4 linked regions of the Schizosaccharomyces pombe genome follow. Changing the gene in region 2 together with the main gene of any one other region gives a genetic interaction. Each region holds a gene or a part of one and is shown on either strand. Other genes may lie near its edges. The genes, in order: sfp1, mug62, xap5 and dak1.

Region 1 (5,126 bases), 3.7 Mb from region 2:
GAGCTTTTTCCATCGTTATACACCTATAGCTTTGTACGAAGTTCAAAGGCCCAGATTAAATGATAGACCGCCTCTATATACCGCGAGAGATGAGATGGAAACTCTCTTGGCCAGTAATAAAGTTACGGACTGGGTTAAATTGAGTGAGTTCTTCCTAGGTCCTACTCCTGAGCGATTCACCTTTACACCAAAGCACAAAAGCAATAGTGTGGAAGAGGCAGAGGGATAAACAACTTATGGTCTTAGTGTATCGAGCATTCACTTTCTTCATATGCATCATCAACTTTTCATACTTAATACTGGCTTATCATCTGGATTGAATTAAGTAGATTAATAAAATATCTGGTGACTTATATACGAGTGATCTGTGTTTGTCTCGTAAAATGCGCAAATGACTAGGCAAATTGGTAATGAATCTAACGTTATATAGTCAACTTACCCAATGGGAACTAACCAACGATCTTACAGTACTCTACAATTACTATCGAAACTACGTTGTGAAATAACTTAGCAAATATATGGTAAATAACACTGCCATACATATTTATTAACTTAAAAGGTATAATAATAACAGCAAGAGGATATTTGGTACAAAAATAACTTAATACACAATAAAAACCATTAAAAATCCAGAATCCCAAAATGACAAAACAAAAAATTAAAAAACAAAAAAAAAGCAAACAAAACAAACACAGCCATCATGTAGGTAATAAAGTAAGTGCAAAATTAACGGGAATGAATCAAAGGAGACAGGTTCACTTTACAGCTAATTCGATTGTTGTATGCAGATAAATGCAAGCCCGTAAACATCAAGCAAACTCCACACAACATGTCTACCCTTCTCAAACTTAAAAGCAAAGATAGACATAAAAGTATTCAAACTTGAAGATACGAAACTGAGATACAAATCTCATGTTCAAATATTACAAAGGCAAAAAAGAGCATATTTATGCGGTGCGCATAAAGTTCATTTGAACTTCCCGTTGAGCTTGGGCCATAGACACTTGTAGATGACTATGTGTACGATGATATTTCAAACCGTTTAAGTTTTTATATCTTTTACTACAAACTTCACAGCGATAAGGCTTGTTTTCCACAACAAACCCTTGATGAGGAATTGGAGCTGGTGTTGGAGTAGTAATGGGGGAACAGTGTCCATGAAGTTTGTGATACTTCAAACCATTTTGATTCTTATAAGCCTTATCACAATTAGGGACAGGGCATTTGTATGGCTTGTCTACAACCACCAAGTTAGAGCCTGGGTAATCAATAGTGAGCGGTGAATCGTGTGAGAATGCAGGAGTAGAACGCTGCTTTTTAGATGGCTTAGCTTCCAAATCACTAGAAGATTTCCTAACAAATGGGGATGAGATTGCTGAGTTTGTGGCTGCGGGTGAAACTACTTCAGGAGTAGGAGACATGCTAGACTCTGTGAATTGATCGGCGGATGCGACAGATGGAGCAAATGAAAAAACATCGTGATCGTAATTGAATGGGGGAAGATATGTAGAGTCAACCATGTCCTTTTGATTGAACGCAAAAACATTATTGGCAGCGGACTCACCAACGTCAATAGACATGCTCATGTCACTGAGAGGGGAGCTTGCATCCATTACCAATGATTCAGGCATCTTTTTCGGGGTACCAGTTGTCTCTGCTTGACTACTGGCCTCGTCACTGCTCATGTCGGAGCTGGCAGCGGCAGCAGCAGCAGCAGCAGCGGCAGGTACGACAACGGAAACGCGGTAAGGGCCAGGAGCACCACCGTTAGCAGGAAAGGCAAATGGTAAAACAGCAGAATTATCAGAAATTTCAGAAGTTCCAAGCTGATCAGCAAGATCATGCATACGGATGCGCTCACGCTGTTTGAGCGCTTGAATATGAGAATGATTAGATTGAGCAGCGTTGTTGCTATCCAAAGAATATTCTTGAGGAACAGCAGAATCAGTTGCCAGAACGGCGTGCTGCTCTTCATAATGGTGAATAAGTTGATGCAAATCTTCGAGAGTTTGACCACAGCAGCGGAAATCACGGCAAAATGCTTCTTCTAACCGGTTTAGATAAGAGGTAGAATCCTCTTCGGGAATCGTTTGTGACTCAACCACGTTAGAAAGAGATGGAATAGTATCACGAAGCCAAGCTTGTCCACTAAAGCTATTTCCCCAAGACTGTGGACTCATTCCAAAAGAGGTAGCATGAATGCTGTTAAAGGAATTTCCGTTGTAGTTGACATTGTGATGGGAAGGCTTATTGATAGGCAATGCGAGAGATGGCATATTGAAAAGTTTTTAAGGGAATTAATAAAATTAAAGAGATAAAAGAGAAAATTAAAAGATAAACCGATAAATAGAAACCAAATTAAAAATTATATACCAATGATGAAAAAATAGAATAAAAATAACAAAATAATTTAGTAAGTTATTTTTTGAGAAATCAGGGAATAATGCACTTAGAAAACTCGACTTAAGGAAGGCAAGTTCTTAGAGAGCGCTGAGAGGGGTAAAAAAAGGCAATTAAAAAAAGACTGAATGTAAAATCTAATGAAATTCGACGAACTATAAATTCGAAAAAAAAAGGAAAAAGTTTCTAAAAGAAGAATTTACCAAGCAAAAAAATGAAGGTAAACTATTTTTAAGCACTAAATTACCCAAGTGTAATTAGTGTATTGTAATGTTTTAAGTGGAAACCCCAAAGTGACTTATCTAATTTTTTCAGTCTAAACAAATTGGCGATTAACGGATGATAAATGTATAATATAAATAAGATGAAAAGAAAGGGAGTAAAAACCTTTTAAAGAATCCTTTTTAATCAACAAAGAAAGTCAAGTAATAACGAATCGAGTCGAGGAAACTGTTCGATTCGACTTTTTTTTAAAATAAAGCGAAATAGTAAATAATTTACGCTTTGATTCAATGAACAATCGAGATCAATCGAAAAGAGTGGTGATACTTCAAAAGAGTAATCTTTTTTTTGCAGGCAACTAGTGGACGCAATATATGTTGCAAGCGAATTTTTTTTATAAATATGTTTAATTTTTTTTAAGTTGAATATATGGTATTCAACAACAATTCTATGATTGTACTAACTCCCTTAAGTTAAGTAAGTATATTTGCTTCTGCTTCCTTCGTGTCGTCCTCACGTTGAAGTTAGTCAGAATAAGGCGTTAAGAAGGGTAGGACGGTGTTTAAGTAGTAATTGATAAGGTGATTTAGCAAGCCTTCTCGTTACGTATGTATAAAGGTAACAAGGATAAAAGGGTCAAGTAACAGTGACGCCGACTATGCGAGCGAATAACAGTGAAGCTTTCAGACTTAAACACCTAATGAGGGGCCCTTAAATATAAGAAAGCCAATCAGAGTACACAGAGTGGATCGAACTTGGATCAAAGTAATTAGGGGTAACAATGCAACTTCGTCAGTGCCGTATCGGAAGGTCGTTACTTCCAATAGATGGGGCCGAAGACAAGGGGCGAATAGTTTCTAGACAAAGGGTCGCAAATGAACGATGGCGGATGGCTTGGAGCTCAGTGCAGAATTAAGCGGTACGCAGCTTAGCGTTATAGTGTCCTAATATACGGTCAAGTGCACACGGGTACAGTAACACACACAATCTTTGTTTATGTGTTTCTCGGAAAATCGAAGCGGCTAAAAACGTTTAGCGATTCAAATGTTGGTTCGGTAATCAAACTTGAGGCAGGGTTCGCAGTCTGGTCACGTTGTGAAGCAGCTAATGGGGAATGGATGGAGGCAGACAATGAAGATCGTTGTCGGTTATACCAAATTTACCGGGAAAGCAAACTCAAGGAATTTGCGAGATACAATGTCCTTTCAAGGGTTAATTGGTAAAGTAAACGACTATGAAATGAAAGAAATATCGTCGTTTAATTGAAATGGAGGAAGGATATTTCTCTTCTTTGTGCTAGTAAAGAGAAGACGGATATTTTTGGAAGAGATGTAAAAAGACAAGCAAACAAGAAAATGAAAATGGACGTCTAGCGATTTTACAAGAAAAAATTAGACGGGAAAAGGGAAAAGAAAAACTAAAGCTTATAGGAAATGGAGCTAAAAAAATATCTAGATAGAATAGCTTGCGAATGAAGAAAAAAACAAACTATCGTACAAGATAAACCAAATATATAAACCTTACAACAACCCAAAAGAAAATGATTGAAAGTAAGGTGAAGATCAGTAACTAACAAAGGAACAGAATGGAATAACAAGTATATAACTAAGTAAATAAATAAATAAAGAATCGGTATTATCACAGATAAATGAAAAGATAATACACACAACGATGAAGAGAATATAAAAAAAAAATTGTTTCGTTAGAATCAAAGGAAGTTTTTAACAGAACGGAGTTTTTTATTTTTTTTCGTAACCAAAAAAGACTTTTAGAAAAATTGCAAGGATTTAGAGCAATACTGATGATTTCATACAAACGATTGGAGAATGGGATGTATTGTATTGAAACCAATGAACTGAATCGAATCGTTAAGAGGAAATTTTTTTTTAATAAACAATGCAGTTTGTGTTTGGCATTAGCGAAATCCACATCCATTATATAGAAATGGAAAGTCAACGTCAAATGTCCAATCTATCAATTCTTCGTTTTCTTCCAGAAACTCTTAAGCATCATTTTCATTATTTAACAATCCCATCATTTGTCCACATATCCACCACACTTAGGTCAGTAGTTGAAAAGATGAAATTCGCAGGCATCACACTCAATACCAAAGGCAATGAATTTACAACGTTTTAATTACATTTCTCAGCAATCTTCTAGGGTTCTGGCCATTGGATAGTTTATGATGCTTCTATATCAAACACACTCTACCATGATGTCAAGGGCGCTGGCGCTATGGCAAGCGAAGGGATATGAACAAGGACCAAGATAAAAGTGATTCTGACTTGGTTCATGAATGAAAAACTACAGACAATTTGATAGGATTAATAATTGAAGAAAACGATAAAGAAATTCATACATCCCAAGGAGTAATCTATCGTCTATGAGAAAAAAATGAAAAAATGACATTAGTAAACAAGTGTCAAGAGAGTATGGGTCAACAACATCAAAACGACATTGTCGCATACAATTCAAGTGAGACAGATTCAATTCTTCCTATACGC
Region 2 (7,072 bases):
ATGCCTCGGTTTGGGTAGTGCTGATATTGTCTGGTACATTGTGTTAGGTCTCAAAGGTGGCTTGAATTTACGCTTCATTTCAGGCATATGAACGTCTCGGAGAGAATCATCTATATGTGTGCCTGCTTCATAACTTTCTGCAGAGATTTCCTTCTCAATCTAAAGATGATGAGAAACATTCGCTTACATGTATATCTTACAGATATTTCTTTCCCGGAAATGCGAAGCAATTCTCCTTCTTTGATTTGTGGCACCCTCGAATGACAGGATCCGAGTCTTTAACATATATTAATAAAAAATATCTCTCAATAAAAGATGCTATATTGTTTGCGACTTCATTTTTAGTAAGTTCGACATGTAGGAATACCTTGTAAAATCTGAATTATAAAGAGTCAAATTTGAGTCTTCTCTAACGAGAAAGCCATCCCCTTCCCATGTTTTATGTTTCTTCATAGTAATTTTTCTCCTGACGCGTTTAGTCATGAAGTCAAAAAAGAGATTGTGCTACCATACCATACAACATTGTAATAAGCAATTTTGTTTATGTCGATATTTGATTTTCCTTTATGTTCATTTGCATTTTCAGATACTTCGTGTGAGGTAGTTGCTGTTTCTGTTTTGGTATAATTAGTAGATTGATGTTTTATGGTAGATTCAATTAATGGACATTGAAAAGTAGCTCTTCGTTTCATGTTCAGATTTCAGTTTTAATAAAGTAAGGTTTCAATTCTCTTTGGTAACTGTGTTTATTTACTCAACAATACTATGAGACCGAACGTGTGGTGTTCAAGTTAGACAAATGCAAGCAGTTCTGAAGCATGCGCGTAAAAATCGGTTAGTAATATTTTGCACTTCTAGGTACAATCATCATTTTGAACGTAATAAACATTAATAGTATCACACGTACTAAATTAAGGTCTCTTGCTTCTGTTCATATAATTTTTTTTATTACTAATTAACTTTCATCATGTTAAAGCAAAAAAGGCGGCAATTTGTAACTTATCATTAAATTTATAGCGTAAAATGTTTTAAATTAAATAAATTATCTACAATTTGCAAGAATGAATTCCCGCAAAATGTTTCTATTCAGGTATTGTTTCTTTTGACTAACAAGAACAGTTTCTGAAAGGTAGAATAAACAGCGATGAATATGGGGGTATTCAACTAAATTTGTCCATTGTTATCAACAAAATTTGCGAATGTTTACTTTTAATTAAACAAAGTTAGCGCATAATGCTTAGCCTGTTGTTATCACTTTTTTCTCAATCGTTATTAGTAAAGACAGGTTTCTTAGTTAATAAATTATATTAATTAGTACTGTTAGTTGTATGTTGCATCTGTAGTCTAGTGGTTATGATTTCTGCTTTACACGCAGACGGTCCCAGGTTCGATCCCTGGTAGATGCATCTTTTTTCGAAAAGCTGATACAATCCAACTTTTTGCGTTCTAATATGTATAAAAAAGATTGGTATTTACTGTTAATTTTGTAAAATTAATTGCGCACATAAATGAATAATGATGGGGAACAGGGATAGAGCATAGTCTTTCTAAATTTTTAAATTGAATTAGGATTTGTAAACTTAGTACACTTTTACTTCATTCAATGTTATTGTTTATCCTTAGTGAAGTCAATCAGGTAACAGGTAACATAAGCGATTTGTTTACATTTCTCATACAAGCTTTGGAATCCTCAATTCCTAACTGTATGCGAACGTGAGCCATAAAATGAGTCTAAAATCATTTTTCAACTTCAATAAGAAGACAAAACTGCATGACATAGAAGAGGATGTTATATCTGAAATTGGTTCTGCTGGTTCAGCCCTTCGAACAGATGCGCATATGCTGAAAGCAAACGATGTCTATTATAAAAGTGAAACGGTAAGAGTAATATAAAAAAAAATTACTAAATGCAAAAATTTCAAGGATAGTCATACTGTGCTGAGATTTATGAAACCTTCAGAAAACGAAAAAATCCATCCCGTAAGGCATTCGAAATATGAAGATAAAAGCAAGTTGCCTTTTGAGACAATACCAGACCCAGTGTTAAAATATGTGAAAAGAGCAAGGGATGCAGAGCTGCAACCACAATTGGCCAAAGTATCTCAGAAGCTGTTTGCAGATATATCAACTGCCACAGCAGCTGAAAAACTACAATTCACAGTTCCACGTAGAGCCAGATTTGAAATTAATGATCCACGAAATCCAACATTTTCAATGATGGCGCTGCAGGATATTATATCTGTCCTTGAGTATCGAAGAAATAAAAATCCAACTTCTACTGCTCATATTTGTATCGATAAAAAAGGGAAAGAAGCTGTGAGTTACAGTTGGGATAAAATCCTGAATAGAGCTAAACAATTTGCGTCTGTTGCGCAAAATCACGTTGGACTTAAACCTGGAACCAGAGTAATTTTATATTATCGAAAATCGGAAGCTTCAGAATATATTATTAGTATCTTTGGCTGTTTGTTGCTTGGAATAGTAGTAATTCCTTTGAGTCCTTCCTCATCTTCAGAAAGTCTCAAGTTGGTTGTCAATGAAGAAAAAGTTCGTGTCGCATTTACTACAGAGGCTACTTATCGTATCTTCATAAAAGATACAGAGGTGAATAATGCAAAAAGCCTTGCATGGTGGAAATCAAACGACTTTACAAACTACAAATTTGAACAAATCAAACAGTATCGGATGCGTGCGAATGACACAGTTCTCATTGATTACACGTTCAGCTCCTCGACCTATAATGATATTAAGGCTGTTTATACCACGAAAACATTTTTAAGTCAGATGAGAAATCTGACATCGTCCATGATAACCAATCCAGCTCGTCAAGCTGGATGGAAGCTCCATAATTTTGAGGATTCGAAAGATGTTCTCATTACCAATTTCCATCCATCTATGCCATTAGGATTGATCATGGGGGTATTCAACTCTGTGTTTGCAGGATATTGTACCATCTTTTGTGATGAAGAAGTACTAAAAACGCCAGGTTTATTAGCATATTTAATTACTAAATATCGATGTACATACAGTTTGTTTGATTATGCTGGACTGAAGCAGACAGTGTACAATTATCAGGAGGATCCTAAATCTACACTTTCATTTAAAAAAAATTATACACCGAACCTTTCGTCCTTGAAGTTGTGTATGGTTGAATGCGAAGTAGTAGACCCGGAATTCAACATTATAGTCTCAGATAGGTGGTTGCAACCTTTAGGTACCAATAATTCCAAAGAGGTAATCACTCCGATATTATGTTTGCGAAAGTTTGGTGGAATACCTATTTCATTCAAAGACTGGATGATCAGTTACACCAACAGACAGAAACATGAACGGCAAATGGCCGATACTTGTTATCAAGAGATCTTGGTATTAAAGAGTTCAATAGAAAAGGAAAAAGTGGAAATTGTTCCATTTCTAGATATCCGAAAATATTCTCCTAACGAAGTCCTTTGCATGTCTCCCTTTTGGTATCCAATCCCTGAGGCATCAGTGGCAGTTGTTAATGAAGATTCGAAGAATATATGCAAAGTTGGTGAAGTTGGAGAAATTTGGGTTTATTCTGATTGTCTTCCTAAGTTGAAAGCTGCTAGCGTGATTAACAACCCACAAGGGGAACAATTAACTGATTACGAAAACAACCAAGAAAATAAATTTGAAAAGAATAACTCATTCATGGATAGTGGTCTAAAAGGATTTTTGCATAACGAAAAGATTTTTGTTCTTGGAAACAAAGATGAACAAATCAGGCAATATCGGAAAACAATGGTCGCTGATAAGTTAATGGAAGAAAAATATGTACACTATTCTCATTACTTGATTAAAAAAATCATGAAATATGTTCCCGAAATTTTTGATGGTGTCGCCTTTGAAATAGAAATCGACAAAGCAGTTTACTCCGTTTTAGTACTTGAAAGTCCAATTATTAAGCGTTCGTTAATTCGAAATAATCGGCTTAAAGGAAGAGATTTGTTCTCAGAGTTGGTAAAAATAACAGAGAGCAGCTTCCAAGTCACTCAAGACATATTCAAATTAGATGTCCTAAGCATACTTATTGCTCCTTACAAATCATTACCTCGATCCAGGTATATGGGAATCCAAGCAATCAACACGAATAAGTGTAAACTGGCCTTTTTGTCAGGAAATCTTCCTGTATCCTATGTTAGGTTTTTCATGGATTCAGCATTACCAAAATCTAAAATTAATTTAAACAATTCAAAAGGAATTTGGTCAAAAGATGCCTCCAAACATCATAGAGAGATTATCTCTTTAAATGTTAAACAAAAGATGGATCCGTACAAGCATCAAAACAAAGTTAGTAAAGCACGAGAAAATCTGCTTAATCACTTTACTATCCTTGACTTTTTAAAAACCAAATCTGCAAAGACACCAACTTCACCTGCCATATTAACCTTTAATGCTATCGAAAAAACAAAAGTAGAGTTGACTTGGGCCCATTTTGAGCTGAAAGTTGCATCTCATGTTGAATATATGCAGTTATCAGTTAAAGCTAAAGCAAGATCACATATTTTACTTCTTTATTACGACCCATTAGAGTTTTTGATCAGCATACATAGCTGCTTTCACCTAGGGGTGATACCAATACCGTTTCAAATTCGTGAAATATCACAATTGATTGGGGAAATAGAAGAATTCACAAAAATTGCAAAGGCCTTCAATGTGGAAGCAATCCTTGTTGATCATAAAGTTCTTATATCTTTAAAATCCAGGGATATTTCAAATCACTTTCAACAAACTTGCATTGACCTCAACATGAAGGCACCCAAAATATTTGAAACTACTGGAATCCCCATTTCAAAACGTGCAAAAAAAGCATTGAATCTAATAACCCCGGGGGAATTGAATAATAAAGGGAAAGTCGCGCTAATTAGTATTAATAAGCTGGAAGATGGTTCCATCATCCCAACGCAATTTTCTCATTCTAGTCTTCTGGCATTTTGCCATGAACAAAAAGAATTTGTAATTGGAAATGAAGAAAAACCAATCATTGGTGGGATTGAATTCTCAAGTGGAATGGGCCTATTGCATACTGCCTTGCTTGGAGTATATGCAGGTAAATATTTTCAAAATGTGAAAAAAATAATTAACGCATATTATAGGAGTACCAACTTTATTGATAAAACAAGAAAACTTATGTAACAATGGTAGCCTGCTTTTTGAGGCTATCGAGCAAAACTCTTTATCAAAGGTTATGATTCCACTTAACATTTGTCAGAAAAGCTTTTCAACAGCTCAAGGTTGTAATAGCATTGTTATTAACTCCACTTTGTCAAGCATTATTGTGCCTTGCTACGACAGACCAATAAGTTCTAGAGGTAAGTAGGAAAACAGAAAGACGCATTTACTAACAAGACCTAGTTAATAGTATAATTGAAGATATCGCCAGAATTGGACTAGCTCCCAACAAGGTAAAATTGGCATACTCTCATCCGATCAATCCTTTCGTTTGTTGGAATGCGGATTCGAGCATGGAAAAAATGAAGGATTACTTTGATGCCAATCAGCTAAGAAGCGGTCTCGTAAACGTAAGAGAGGATGTCCTAAGAAACAGACAACCACTCCTTTATGGGTCCGGAACTGTACGTGAAAAGTATTAGGCAGCAATTTACTAATTAATATAGAGCACATTATACAATGAAATATGCATAGTTCACCCTGAAGAAAAATACATATGTCAAGAAGGAGAAATTGGAGAAATTTGGATTAACGGAAAGCACGGCTCATATTGTGAAAACAACGAACTCAACTCTGGATGCGAGCTTCTAGTGCAAGAGACATTAGATAAAAAGAGCTATTCGAGAACAGGGCAGTTAGGTTTCATTCATCATTTGAAGAAAAAAGACCAGAATATGGAAAAAGTTCCAGTTTTATATACTTTAGATTTCATATGGAATACGCTCGAATTAAACGGGCTTAACCATTCCGTAAAGGATATTGAAGAAACAATCGAATTAGTGCATCCCAACATTTGCACAGATGGGTGGTAAGTAGCATCACAAACTATAGAGGCTAATGTCACAGCATATTATTTCAAGCGTCAGGATCCGTAGTAATTCTTCTGGAAGTACATAGTCAGCAAAAATTCGCTAGCCTAATACCAATTATTGTTGCTACGGCTTTGGCAGCACATGAAATCATACTTGATTGTGTTGCCTTCGTACCGAAAGGAACATTTTTGCGTCGTCCAACTGGTGAGAAAAGGAGAGCAGACATCCTAAAACAATGGACTGGAGGAGACCTGTAAGTGATCTTTATTAATGAGAAGCCTAAATAACAATATTTTAGGAAACACATGACAAGCTATTTAATTCGACAGGACTTTCTTCTCAACGAAGATTTTGTAGGTACTGAGTTGATTGGAACAACCGATTCTTACGATTACTCGGATGAAAACTTAATAATCAATAGTTCCCAACTTAATCTCCTTTAGATCATTAGCAAGCCAGCTTATCGCGTCTTTGATATTAAGGCCCGTTAATGCTGAAACCGAAAAAATCCGCCAATGCGATGATTTATATTTAGAAATATTTAATATCTTGACTTGTTGTTAGCTTGGATTCATAAATTGTAAACTGACTTTGCTAATTTCTTCGGATGAAAGTGCGCCGGAAACGTCAGACTTATTAGCGAGAACCAAAATTGAAGTAAACAAAAGTTTCTATATGCATGTTAAGATAATTCACATTTTCAGCCTACCTCTTCTACCAACAATTCTTGTAATGTATTTCTGCATTCTTCTAAACGTAAATCATCCAAGCTGTCAACAACCCAAATAATTGCTTCGGTTGATTCAAAGTAATTTTTCCAAAAATTTCTTAGCGTTTTCTGCCCCCCAATGTCCCCTTGAATTAGTAAGCTTAAGACTGTTCATTTCGAAAATTGCAAGCTACGTACATATCGTGAATCGGAGTCCTTCTACTTCAAGCGTTCGAATTTGAAAGCCAAAGGTAGGCGAAACTTCATTTACCTATCAATCGATAAATTATGGAGCCTTAAAAGATACTTACATCCTCGTTCAACAGGCACTTCAAAATTGTCGTTTTACCTGCATTAT
Region 3 (3,593 bases), on a different chromosome or scaffold from region 2:
CCAAGAGAACGAAAAGCGAATTTCATTTCTTATTTACAATAGAATAGTTATTCTCATCATTCAGTCACGATCACTTTTTTCTTTACCAAAAATTGTATACCTAAATAGCACAGTATAATCCACCGCAAATTAACGTATCGTTAATATGTTTATGATCAAATACTATGTATTTGCATACCAACGCTGCGATACATTAAATAAAAACAAGCAGAAATATGAGAATTCAATAATAAAGGAAACATTTAATAATTCCAAAAGCGAATTGCTAATTTTTTAATTACTTTATTTTACAATATCCTATAGCACATCAATGAAATCAAGGTTTTCAGTCAAGGTTGGAGTGATGTTGAGAGTAGTAAGTGTAAATACTAAAACCCATTGCGAATACTTAGTGGATAATATCTGTTTCTTTTTTACCAAAGTCTCTCTCTTTGTATAGCTTATCAAGTTATATGTTTGGCGCAATTCATTTGTTTAAAATACAAACATAAAAACAATATAGTTGTAATGAAATTGTTATTAAATTAGTCGATGAGGGAAGTATGAGTATGCAAAACAAAAATAAAGAACCAAGAGAAAAAAAATCGAAAACTTTTTAAAAGGCATTATGAGGGCCGGTAAAATAATGCAGCGTTAGGATCAGTTGCATGCTTTTCCAATGAATAATCTTTTCGAGAATCAAAGACTTCCCAATGCACACATGGAAACACATGGCGATTTTGTAAATAATATGATTTTTGAACTAGATGAGGAATGCATTGAGAAGGAAGTTGTGTAGTTGCAACCATTTCTGGACTAGAGCATGACAGCTTATCAAAGTCAAATAAAAGTCCATCACGTCCTTGAACTTTATTAATGTAAAAGTAGTAAAGCTCATGGTGATGGGGAATGATTAAATCAGATTGAACCAGTAAAAATTTATCCATATCCAGAATCCTCTTCAAAAATGGGATTTGCTGTTTCATATCAGCAAGAAAGTGTCCAACCGAATCTTTCAATCTAGTCCTTACATGATAAGTGGTACTTGTTCCATCGTAATAGATAAATGGTATCAAAATCTCTTTTTCCCGAATTTGCTCCTGCTCTTTTAGCCATTGTTTGCGATATTCGGCTCGCTTCGCGTTTTCACGTATTTCTCGCTCTGCATCTGGCAAAAAGGAGGTATCCGCAGATGGATCCTTTCCCATAAACATTTTTTTCTCAACTTTTTTTAAAGGTAGATCATCATTCTCCAGTTCTTCATCTTCACCAAAAGAAAGTTTTCCTTTGTTAACTTTAATGCCCTGTTTGACCTTTTTGCTTAAAGCATCTTTTCTCTTTTTTCTAAAATTGAATTGTCAGTCATATTTAGAATACTATCGGGCTTTTCTCGTTCTTTTCACTTACATTTTAGTACTTGTGGTTGATAGCGCATGTTTCTCTCGTTTTTCAACGATGTTTTGTTTTACTCTTTGATAATCCTTTAAATGGACTAAACCAGTCGTACTATTTCGTAAAATCTCATGAATTTCATCGGCATCAGTATGGCCGCTCATTGTATGAAGAATTCAAAAAAACGTGAGTGGTGAGCGTTCTTCCAAATAAGCTTGAATACCCAAAATACCCTTTTTTTGCCTCGGTTTTCAAATCTCAAAATGAAAGAAATGACTATTACTATATTTATCGTAGAAGAAGAACATGTTTTTTACATTTACCTATGAGGGATCCTAGAATAAACGCACACTTTGCCAAAGTCACGTTGCATATAAGTTTTTTATATTTGTCAAAACGGTTATTAAATAGAATAACAACGAGGTGGGGCACTTTGAAGCATTCTGTAATCTTTAACTGCTTGTATAGACACTTTTTAAAACCAATCTAGAGACAAATAAAACGAATTACTCGTTTGTATTAACAAGCTTTGGAAAAATAGCAATAGATTAAAAACAAAAAAAAAACTAGCTAATCACTAGTGTTGCTATAAATACTCTAATAAATTTTCGTATCTGGTCATTGAATGCAAAACCATCTTTCGAATGCCAATATATAAAGTCATTAAAGTGATCCTAAAAAATCATCATTATCCAATGTTCATCAAATTCATTTTAATTTGTCCACTTCGCATCGCTAATAAATATGAAGCTCGCTGGTATACTGTCAGATAAAATAAAAAGAAAATTTTCAAGAGCTGTCCCCTTTGAATATACGTGGCATATGCTTTCCACGAAATTGCTCAATTGAATTGGCAATACCAAAGTTTCGGCCAGTTTCCACTACTAAAAAGCAAGCAAGATCCTCACTACTCCAGTAACTGCTATGAGCCGAAAGCATAGAAAGATATTTGTTTGAAATGACCCCATGGGCACTCGTAAATACGTAGTCCAACTGAGAGTTTTCATTCAACTCTTGCATGCGCCACTTGGCCCTTTCTTCTCTGCGAAAATTGCGAGTCTCTAACTCGACAGTCTGTTCAGGCTCCAGTGGGACCACTGCTGTGGGCTCATTGTTTTTATTTTGCTGCAAAGATTGATTGTAACTTCGAAGTTCCACAGGATCAGTATTAGAATGTGAGATCATTCTCAAAATACTTGAAGATTTTCTTGTGAACAGTATACGAGTTGGGTGGATGCCTTTCGAAAATGAGAGATCCACTGTGGGATTTAATCGCATCGCAACGGCTAATTTGTTAGTAAATACGATAATTTAATGATGCGCTTACGATCAAGGTGATTATAGATGTTATAAAAAGAGTCGACTGCGAGACATCCGTACCGATCATAACCATCGTAAGTATATGACTTTGGAACATCAGAATTTATAAAGTTTTTATTTATTTCGTATCTTGATGAGCCTCTTCCACGACGAGGAATAATACTTTGTTGATTCAAATGCAAAAAAAAACCTACCGGACCACCAAAACAAAAAAAACCGTTTGTGTCGAATATAAAGCAGCTTTCATCATCGTCTATAGTAATTTCTTTGACAAAAGTGGGTTGAAGTGACAAAATATCAAAAACAACTGTGGAGCCCAAAGAATGCCCAATTATAAAGATACGGCCCTTGTTTTCTAAAAAGTAAGGATTGCAGTCCTTCCACAAATGGTAAACCCTATTAGCTTCACGAATTACAGACTTTATAATGGATTCTTTGTGATGAGACATATAATAGGGAATATCACTCATCACATCTCCTAATAACCTTCGCACCGCTGGAATGCTATCAATTTCAATATCCTCAATTGAAAATCGATTTTCTTCAAATTCTTCATCCTCAACCCGTCCTTCATCACCGGCAACTGGCTTTATATATGAATTAAAATTAAGCTTATTTCTCCAACATATCGGAAGAAGTTGTGGTTCATAATCGTTTCGAATCAACGGATCCTCTTTCATTATGTTTTTCTGAATTTGGATCAATGAACGAAAAACGTTGCACGTCTTGGTAAATAAGAATCGTTCCTCTATATTGTCAACATTAGTAATTGAATGCCGGTGTAAGATAAAAAAAAATCAAGTTTACTTACCAGTCTCTGATCTTTTTTGACCGATACCATGAACCACCAAAAAAAGATCTGTAACTTGTTTAGGTCCATTAAAACCATCATCTTCAAAGTA
Region 4 (4,069 bases), 480 kb from region 2:
AAAGCATTGAGTGGTATCCTTCCCTATTTCCTCCAATGGATGGCTGTCTTTTCACTCTATGCCAAGTATCCTGCTTTCTTTGAACATCATTTCCTCACTATTTTTTGCTTGAACGCTTTTATCTTTGCTTATTCGGTTGGAGTGGTAATTGTTTCTCACATTACCGAATCTCCCTTCCCATACTGGAATGTGCTTATTCTTCCATTCTTGGTGGATGCCGTGGACGCCTATACTTTTGGCGTATTAAAAAACGTTCAGACGGAATACTTTTTTTGCTACGTTGGAATTTGCATTGGTGTTTACGGCAACTTTGTTGCACATGTCATTGCCATGATTACGGAAGAGTACGGCATTAAATGTTTGACTATTCCATCCAAACCAGAGTCCAAGAAGAATTGAACTAGATGATGATGGTTTGGACAGAATAGAGATGAGAACAAAAGGGTCCAGAGAGATTTTGTCATTGATAACCTTTCGGTCGATCTTTTGTTCTGCAATGTATCTAACGGATCAGAAGTATCAAAATGATCCATTTCCTAGTAGACAGGTTTTTTTCGGTTGTGTGTTTTCTGCCAACAATATGTTACTTTTGTTTGTTTTCCTGCTGTAGTAATAAAAGTTGGTTTTTTTACCAGAACATAATAATGAACAAGTATTTCACTTGCGACTTCGTTCACTAAATGATCCAGCCTTTCGTATCCTTTTAACTAACTGTATATACTGATGAACAAATGGTCCATTTGTCTTCTACACTGCAAACTTGCTTTTCACCGTGGAATACCGGGGCTGCACTAACTAAGATGACTGGTTCCACATGTGCAGACCGGAGCACTTTTCGACAACCTTCTTTTAATTAAGGTTCTTATGGCAGTTCGTAACGATTTAACAATTTCAATAAATAGCCATCGTCCTGTCCCATTGCTTCTTTGGGCATTGGTAGAGTTTGCCCTTTTAAGGCAATCTTTTGCTACATAAAGGTGACTCAAGTTTACGCTGCGATTTTACTACTTTTCTAGCATATGATCTACAAAAGGTCAGCGAAATTTTTCTTTGACTAGGAAAATGGATTGAGGTCATCTTCGGCAAGGCAAGCTGATATTTAATTTAATTGTTCATATCGGCAACATTTCGTAATTAGTTGAAGGGTATGAAAAACGGTTCTACGGTTATCTAGATGTGTTTATTCACTGTTTCAGCATAATATCACTTCCGTTACGTGCGGGGCACTTCGTCATGCAAATTGGTGGTTATATAGTATATATAGAGAGACAAGGCCAGCATTATTAAATCGTCTTCAAGCTCCCTTTTTCCGCTACACTCATAACTTTTACGAAATAGCGAAACGAAAACGAGACATAACGTAACGAAACGAAACGTTTACTAGTATATTCTTGGTTTATTTATTTTGTATTTAAACCAGTTGAAGCATAGTAGCGTATAAAGTGTTAATTTTTTCGCATTGAAGGGAATTTTGATATTAATATTTTGAGATTTTAGAGACACATAGATTTATTTCTTTAATCCTTTACTCACACTTGCACTTCCCCACCACCTAAAACAAGTCATTTTATATTCTTAGATCATAAATTTCGGGAATATTTGATTTAACTATCCAACTTATATTTAATTTTATTTTAAGGCTTTATTCTCTTTTTTTTACCTTTTTCTTATTATTCTAAAATATGGATAAGCACTTTATCAACGATCCTGAAGTCCTCGTCCTTGATGGCCTTAAATCCTTGGCCGACATGAACAAAACTTTAACTGTTCATGAAGAGGGAAAATTCATCTATTTCCATGACTACAACAAAAAGAATGTCAGTGTCATTTCCGGCGGTGGTGCTGGTCATGAACCCACTCATTCTTCGTTCGTGGGCAAGGGTATGCTTACTGCCGCCGTCTCAGGCTCCATTTTTGCTTCTCCTTCGTCAAAGCAAATTTATACCGGTATTAAGCAAGTCGAATCTGAGGCTGGCACCTTGGTAATTTGCAAAAACTACACCGGTGACATCCTTCACTTTGGTATGGCCTTGGAGAAGCAAAGAACGGCTGGTAAGAAGGCTGAACTTATTGCCGTTGCAGATGACGTATCAGTAGGTCGTAAGAAGAGCGGTAAGGTCGGACGTCGTGGTTTGTCTGGTACTGTTCTTGTTCACAAAATCGCTGGTGCAGCTGCCGCCAGAGGGTTACCTTTGGAAGCCGTTACGACCATTGCTAAGGCTGCTATTGACAATTTGGTTAGTATCGGTGCTTCACTCGCTCACGTTCACGTCCCTGGTCATGAGCCAATTGCAAAAGAAGATGAAATGAAACATGATGAAATGGAACTTGGAATGGGTATTCACAATGAACCTGGATGCAAGCGTATTTCCCCTATTCCCTCTATTGATGACCTAATCGCTCAGATGCTTAAGCAAATGTTGGATCAATCCGACAAGGACCGTGCCTATGTAAAGATTGAGGGTGACGATGAAGTAGTCTTACTTATGAATAACCTTGGTGGTCTTTCCATGCTTGAATTCAGTGCCATTAGCCACAAGGTGAAGGAAGCATTGGCTAAAGAATACAAAATCAACCCCGTTCGCATCTTTGCCGGTCCATTTACCACCAGTTTGAATGGCTTGGGTTTCGGTATCACTTTGCTCCGTACCACTGACCGCGTCAAAGTCGAGGGCGAAGAATACTCTTTGGTTGATTTGATTGACCAACCTGTTGAAGCTATCGGATGGCCTTTGTGTCAACCCTCTGACTTGAAGTCCAAAAACAAGATTGGCAATGTCAGCATCGAGGAGGGTCAGAAGGATGTCAAGTCTCCCGTTACTGTCGATAAGGAGAAGGTTCGTCAGGCGATTGTCAATTCGATGGAGAATCTCATCAAAGCAGAGCCTAAAATTACAAAGTTCGATACGATGGCTGGTGATGGTGACTGTGGTACTACTTTGAAGCGTGGTGCTGAAGGTGTTTTGAAGTTTGTTAAATCCGACAAATTCTCTGACGATCCTATTCGTATTGTTCGTGATATCGCAGATGTTATTGAAGACAATATGGATGGTACATCTGGTGCTTTGTACGCCATTTTCTTCCATGGCTTTGCGAAGGGCATGAAAGACACCTTGGAGAAGAGCAAGGACATTTCATCTAAGACATGGGCTGCTGGTTTGAAGGTTGCTCTTGATACTCTTTTCAAGTATACTCCCGCTCGTCCTGGTGACAGCACTATGTGTGATGCTCTTGTTCCATTTGTCGAAACATTTGTTAAAACTAATGATCTTAATGCTGCCGTAGAGGAGGCTCGTAAAGGTGCTGATGCTACTGCAGATATGCAAGCCAAACTTGGACGTGCTGTCTACGTTGGTGATGATGTTAAAGTTCCCGATGCCGGCGCTCTTGGTGTCGTTGCAATTGTCGAAGGATTTACGAAATAATTGGATACGAAATTTTTTTGGGATTGTAGAATTGGTATGATCTTAAAAACTATTTACGAGCACGAATAACAATTATATTTTCATTATGCATGCATTAATTATTGCTTACTTATCTTTGCATCTGTATTTGTATATTCATGCATTATAATAAGTAATTTTTTAATTAAAACAGTTGAGAAAGGACGAGTGTAGATATTGTATGAACACGCTGCTGTAATAAATAAAAGAACGACAGAAATTGTATGGGAATATTAGACACAGGCATTAAAGAAGAAACAATACACTTTATTCAGAAATGGTCCCTCCTAGATAAGGGCAAACCATTTTTGAATTAAACCCAATTGGACAAGAATTGTTAAATAGACTGTGCATATTATTCAAATTTTTTTTTCTGAATCTCGTTAGAGCTTTTTAATAAGGTCTTTACAGTACTTTATTTGCTCTTCATCAGACATGAATTCGCAATTTCTGATAGCTGTACAAATGAGGACCGTAGTAGAAAGATTTTCAGAATTGACCCAAACGCGACCATTCATTCCAACAGCAATTTCGAAAGGAATGTAGCTTCCTAGGGTCTGTAAAAGTGTATTTTTAGGAAGGATCAACTTCCTACAATGAGATAAAGATAAACCTGTTATCATATA

The links.
Region 1: mutations in mug62 (region 2) and sfp1 together harm fitness more than expected from each alone (negative genetic interaction), as found in Schizosaccharomyces pombe (one large-scale study listed by BioGRID).
Region 3: mutations in mug62 (region 2) and xap5 together harm fitness less than expected from each alone (positive genetic interaction), as found in Schizosaccharomyces pombe (one large-scale study listed by BioGRID).
Region 4: mutations in mug62 (region 2) and dak1 together harm fitness more than expected from each alone (negative genetic interaction), as found in Schizosaccharomyces pombe (one large-scale study listed by BioGRID).

The regions. Positions count from the first base shown.
Region 1 is NC_003424.3:4,431,357-4,436,482, forward strand, and holds sfp1 (transcription factor Sfp1), read right to left. Parts: upstream 3,158-5,126; 5' UTR 2,277-3,157; coding exon 948-2,276; 3' UTR 513-947; downstream 1-512. Other genes in the region: tRNA dihydrouridine synthase Dus3, read left to right, coding at 1-229; SPOM_SPAC9E9.01 (uncharacterized protein), read left to right, coding at 3,505-3,541, 3,583-3,845; SPOM_SPAC9E9.02 (uncharacterized protein), read right to left, coding at 4,261-4,557.
Region 2 is NC_003424.3:697,409-704,480, reverse strand, and holds mug62 (putative AMP binding enzyme), read left to right. Parts: upstream 1-1,725; coding exon 1,726-1,878; exon of another isoform or gene 1,879-1,923; coding exon 1,924-5,071; exon of another isoform or gene 5,072-5,117; coding exon 5,118-5,333; exon of another isoform or gene 5,334-5,376; coding exon 5,377-5,597; exon of another isoform or gene 5,598-5,639; coding exon 5,640-6,001; exon of another isoform or gene 6,002-6,039; coding exon 6,040-6,258; exon of another isoform or gene 6,259-6,303; coding exon 6,304-6,448; downstream 6,449-7,072. Other genes in the region: ATP-dependent DNA translocase Rdh54, read right to left, coding at 1-159, 201-276, 368-466, 514-692; GTP-binding protein involved in beta-tubulin folding Alp41, read right to left, coding at 6,413-6,553, 6,596-6,676, 6,715-6,860, 6,913-6,985, 7,026-7,072.
Region 3 is NC_003421.2:753,199-756,791, reverse strand, and holds xap5 (splicing factor, xap-5-like protein), read right to left. Parts: upstream 1,541-3,593; 5' UTR 1,536-1,540; coding exon 1,387-1,535; exon of another isoform or gene 1,324-1,386; coding exon 606-1,323; 3' UTR 502-605; downstream 1-501. Other genes in the region: SPOM_SPCC1020.13C (DDHD family phospholipase), read right to left, coding at 2,161-2,657, 2,699-3,439, 3,503-3,593.
Region 4 is NC_003424.3:1,175,383-1,179,451, forward strand, and holds dak1 (dihydroxyacetone kinase Dak1), read left to right. Parts: upstream 1-1,537; 5' UTR 1,538-1,682; coding exon 1,683-3,425; 3' UTR 3,426-3,515; downstream 3,516-4,069. Other genes in the region: ept1 (CDP-alcohol phosphatidyltransferase class-I family protein), read left to right, coding at 1-399; exosome subunit Rrp40, read right to left, coding at 3,827-4,069.